2 linked regions of the Kluyveromyces lactis genome follow. The protein of the gene in region 1 binds, or shares a complex with, the protein of each later gene. Links are inferred from orthologs where the notes say so. Each region holds a gene or a part of one and is shown on either strand. Other genes may lie near its edges.

Evidence for each region. The genes of interacting proteins can lie anywhere in the genome.
Region 2: RPP1A (region 1) and RPL3 share a complex: the UniProt entries of both Saccharomyces cerevisiae proteins name them as parts of the large ribosomal subunit. The link is inferred for Kluyveromyces lactis from reciprocal best matches to the Saccharomyces cerevisiae genes RPP1A and RPL3.

The regions. Positions count from the first base shown.
Region 1 is NC_006041.1:1,966,780-1,968,977, forward strand, and holds RPP1A (ribosomal protein P1), read right to left. Parts: upstream 857-2,198; coding exon 536-856; downstream 1-535. Other genes in the region: KLLA0_E22001g (60S ribosomal protein eL13), read left to right, coding at 1-78; SIP5 (Sip5p), read right to left, coding at 1,514-2,198. UniProt on the Saccharomyces cerevisiae protein: Component of the ribosome, a large ribonucleoprotein complex responsible for the synthesis of proteins in the cell.
Region 2 is NC_006042.1:1,522,362-1,525,626, reverse strand, and holds RPL3 (60S ribosomal protein uL3), read right to left. Parts: upstream 1,733-3,265; coding exon 569-1,732; downstream 1-568. Other genes in the region: YNG1 (Yng1p), read left to right, coding at 1-312. UniProt on the Saccharomyces cerevisiae protein: Component of the ribosome, a large ribonucleoprotein complex responsible for the synthesis of proteins in the cell.

The DNA of each region.
Region 1 (2,198 bases):
TCCGACAAGAGATACAAGGGTATCAGAGAAAAGAGAGCTAAGGACAAGGCTGAAGCTGAAGCTGAAAAGAAGAAATAAGCAACTCCATACCTTTTATTCAAATACTAGACAAAACGTTGTTTTATTTTATAAATATCTTTTAATCAAATTATCTTTCCGTCATTAAGAATTAATGTCACCGCATCCCCTTTCTCAATAAGTTTCCTGTTTGGTAATTATGAGACATTGTCTACCGTGTAAAAAAACGTATAAACTATAATATTTTACATCTAATTCAAATTATCAGATTATCAATTTGTCTAATGATATTATGGAACCTTATACGATCCTACTTATATTTCAAAGTGTCACTAGTGATGAGATGCTTTGAAGATTGGACGTTTGTGTATTAAAAACGGTTGATTATATATACATATTTGTGTATACACTCAAATGATGTGTTATTTGATTCTCAAATTTAACGTAGTAAGTAGTAGCTTAATGCGCTAGTAATAAAAACAGAATTTATTCCTCCTATGTTAAAAGTTAACCTAATTTAATCGAACAAACCGAAACCCATGTCATCATCGGATTCTTCCTTGGCTTCTTCTTCCTTTTCTTCAGCAGCAGCTTCTTCGGCACCGGCAGCAGCACCACCAGTAGCAACTGGAGCAGCACCACCAGCACCAGCTTCGAACTTGACCAACAAGTCCTTGATGTTTTGCTTAGCCAAAGCCTTAGCAAAGATATCAGCCCAGATACCTTCAACTGGGACGTTGGCAGCTTCAGTCAAAGCCAACAACTTTTCAGAAGAGACTTCGATATCAGCATCAGCCAAGATCAAAGCAGCGTAAGACAAAGCAGTTTCAACAGACATTTCTAATGTAAAATTTCCTGGTTCTGGCAAGTGTAGAGATAATCAGATTAAGCTCGTAATGAAGCAGACTATTTCTTTGGTCCTTTGAAAATAAGAGAAACTAAATAATAAAACGATATAAGTAATAAGAATATTTCATAAAAGAAGCTTCAAATTGAACAAATGCCATCATGTGTAAAACAAATACTTTTCCTATCGAAATGTTAAATGGTTACTCCTGTAAGTTTTATTGATATTTCACATCTCATCGTGGAAAGGTGAAAAATTTCAGGAAAAGCTGCGTGGTTTCGTCAGGCATGATAATTCGTGTGATGTGATATAATGTTTCTGCATGAAACGCTGGATGTACAGAGTCAGCGTAGATGTACAAGGGAGAATCCCTGATATTGAGTCGGAGTGAGTCCGCAGATGGGTGCTATATTCCACATAATATTCTATGTTTTATAAACATATATATACTCGCGCGCAGTGTTACTGATGAGTGTACCTTGTATCTTAAGGTATGATGCGAAAGTTATGGGATTGTTAAAAGATGCATGCAAAGTGAAGTAATTTGCGAATGTGTTGATTGTATCTGTCGTTAGTCGTGAAGGTAATGAAGGAGACAGCAGTGCAGGAGAAAATGCTTTCAGTTCATGAAATAAGCTCCAAATTAGGTTAATGATCCTGCAAACTTAGTTTGATTGCTTGTTGGAGCATTTCGTCATCCAGTTCTTCTAATGTTTTCTGACGACGTTGAGGACTATTCCCTCCGTCAGGGCCTCCAACTGAAGAAGAAATGGATGCGTGTCTAGAAGGGTGTTCGGGATCAATTAATTGATTACTCATGTGTATTGCAGTAGCTTTTGCTGATCTTCTAGCGAGTCTTAATCTTTCTTTGGTTAGATTGATCTCCCAGTCAGGTCTTATAGAATCGGATGTTATCACAGACGGATCATCGGCTGCTATTGAGCCCCTACGAATTTGTTCTATAGTTACGAGTTCGTCATCTTCATTGCTGCTAGAATCCGATACTAGGCCTTCACGGTCCTTGTATTCGGCAATCTTGTATTCGGAAGCGTAGATCCCGTTGATTCCAGTCCGCACGTCCCTGCGCGGTTCGTATGTTACACCAAACTCTGCAGTGGCACAGTAAGGGCAATTGGCAGGTTCACTGACAAGAAGGTTGGGATCCTTCAATTCGTCCGGTTCTTGATCTTGAGTTGGATCTACCTCTTCATGCGGGAAGTGTGGTGCGGCACGCTTGATTTGGACGAAGCATTCAGTACAGATCGGTTGCTTGCAACATCTGGAAATATTCAAAGGCTTAGGAAAGTAGAGGAAACATATTGGACATTCTGCT
Region 2 (3,265 bases), on another chromosome or scaffold:
CCGATCAAGATTAAGATCACTATGAAATCAAGGTACCCAGAGGCAGAAAGGGAACAGAAACTGATTCAGCAAGAACATGTGAATCATGATAAGACGCACAAGCCAGAGACAGAGACGTACTGTTTCTGTAGAGATGTGTCGTATGGACCCATGGTTGCTTGTGATAATGAATCTTGTGCCATCGAATGGTTCCATTACCCCTGTGTAGGATTATCAGCCGCACCCAAACCCAATGAGAAATGGTTTTGTAGTGACATGTGTAGGAAACAGTACTCCAATCATCGGAAAAAGAGCAAGAGAAGAAAGCGTTGATGAAGACCGCGGAGGCTCTTCAGTGCTTCTCCAGAAAAATAACTTGCAAGAAGGAAGCGCGTGTAATTATTATTTATTCAAATGCTAATATTTTCATATTTAAAGATAGTTGTCAAAACAACAGGAAATATTATGAACCAGCCGATGGGATAGTGAAAGAAAGTGTAAACACTTTCTTGAGTACTCCAAAACTAGTCTATAAAATTACAGCATGCAAAGCTTTTTACTCAATTCGACTCTATTAGAGTTGAGGAGTTTATAAGTCCTTCTTCAAAGTACCCAAGAAAGCGTGCTTTTCAGCTGGGGTTTGGAATCTACCCTTACCGAACTTAGAAGCAGTGTCGATCCACTTCAAGGTAACTTCTTCCAAGGCCTTTCTGGAGGTGTTGGTGTACAAGGACTTTCTTAAAGTAACAACTCTCTTTCTGGTACCTGGGATAGAACCCTTCAAGATAACGAAATCATTGTTGATAGCACCGTAGTGGACGAAACCACCCATTGGGGTGATGGTCTTCTTGGTTCTGTCGAATTCGGTAGCGGCGTTAGCTTCGTCGTCACCCTTACCAACTCTGTAGACCTTGTGGTTAATAGAGGTTCTGTGGTGGTAACCTCTTTGACCAGCTCTAGCAACGGACCACATAACGTGGGCTGGATGCCAAGCACCGATACAAGCAACCTTTCTCAAACCTCTGTGGGTCTTTCTTGGAAGCTTCTTGGTACCCCATCTGTGGGTAACACCTTCGAAACCGTGACCCTTGGTAACGGCAACGACATCGATCATTTCGTTTTGTTCGAAGACAGAGTCAACGGCAACGGTCTTTTCGAAGTGTTCCTTAGCCCAGTCAACCTTGTCAGAGACAGAACCACCGTTCAATTGGATTTCAGCCAAATGAGCCTTCTTTTGAGACAATGGAGTCTTTCTGACTTGGGTGTGGACCAAGACTCTAACAACAGAAGCGTACTTCTTGATTCTGGCCAATTCTCTGTCGACTTGGGCACCGTTTTCAGCGTACTTAGCAGAGTACTTGGTGAAAGCCTTCTTCTTGGACTTGTACCAGTTCTTGTAGAATCTTCTCTTGACTTCGTCGGACAAATGTTCAGCCCAGACGGTGGTCAAGGATCTCAAACCTCTTGGGGTTTCAACGTAACCAACAACACCGACAACAACGATTGGTGGGGTGTCAACAACGGTAACAGCTTCAACAACTTCACGCTTGTGGAACTTGGAACCTGGTCTGTCCAAGTCTCTAACGATAGTGGACATACCAGCCTTGTAACCCAAGAAAGAGGTCAAAGCAACTGGCTTAGTTTGGTCGTCCTTTGGGAAAGACTTAACTCTACCTCTAACAGAGGCAGCTCTCTTTCTTGGCAAGAAACCTAAATGACCGTGACGTGGAGCTTCGTACTTTCTGTGAGACATTGTGTATTAATATTAACTAGCTAGAGCTGTGGTTACCGTTCTAGAGTTTTGCGATGGGGAAGGGAAATAAACAAAGTAGATACCATTAAACACTTTCAACTTTACATATGATGAGATGAAGAACTATTAAAAATTTTTCACTTGATTTTTTCATGTTTTTTAAATAGTCCAAGCTTCGATGCGATGAGATGTGAAAAAAATTTTTTTCTTCAAGATCGCTTGGAGATGAGAGACGAGAAAGTTCGTGAAAGGTGATTTAAATAGGAGAAAGTACTATCATTAGATACGTCCATAGGTAAAAATACAAAAATCACAGAAAGACGGGGTAACAGTGCATATAGAATCCGCCCACGTGACTTGTTCTTTTTTTTCTGTTTTTCCCCTCTGAAACGCAGTTTACCCCCCATTTATCGGTTCGCCTTTGGTCCTGACGAAATGACGGCGGGAGGCACCTATCTTTTTCAAATGGTAAACAAATGACACAACGATGGAGCCAACAAGTATTAAACAAAAATGCACGGAAAAGAAGAAAACCACAGTGAAACTACATTCAACTGTTATCAATCACTAACGACAACAACAAAAACAGAGACGTGTGCAGATCAACACGATTTATTACCACTACGTAATGTGACGAACTGAGATCTCCAAAAAGTCTCACCATCAAGTTGTTCCTCACACCATTCGGAAAAACCTTACGAGACGAATCCCGGAAAAACAACACTGCCGTTTTTCCCGCTTCTTCCTACGACACCCACTGCGCACCTCCGCTAGAGCTGGATACTCAAGCTGTTTTATTTCTGTCAAATCTCCTTCTCCAACCAGTCGGAAAAACTTTTCTGGCTCCCCATCGAAACAACAGGTCGCCCCGTACAGATCTTTCCGAAAGGAAAAGCAATAAGCGAAGAAAAAGAAAACACACCCGGGCATCAGCCCGGGTAATACATAGGTCTCGTAGATGTTTTTCTTCTTGTCCCCCCTTGTGATTCTAAGAGAACCATAGAAAGAAAAAACAATTTTATGATTTTTTCGGATTCCCGCCCCACTATTCTTTGGAAAAATAACCGTTTTCTACTGCACATTCTAGCTGCGGAAAGGAGAACCACTTTTCCGAGCAACCTCTTTTGGCTGTTTTTCTCTTTTTCTGCAAATAATTACAGTGAAAGCTCCATATTGTTTTTCTTTTAGATTCAGGTAACCAACCACTGGGAAAAGTACCGGGGTCTGGTTGGAATCTCAGTTGGATGACTCTGAATTGACACTGCTGACACGCTTGGAAATATAGTATTGTAGCTCTATTGTCTGTGGTACCTTAGATAAATCGGAGTGGGTTCACCTTTCCGGTCCAAATTGTTCGACCACAAGAAACGGTGCACCGGCGTGTTAAATACCGGGTTCTTGAAATTCATATATTGCGAGTTTTCCATGCTTCCTGGTGTCTCTTTATCTGAATATTATATTCTTTCTGAAAAGATTTGTAAATTATATAACGGTTGAACAAACTACAAAAGAAATAGTAGTTATTGTTCAAAG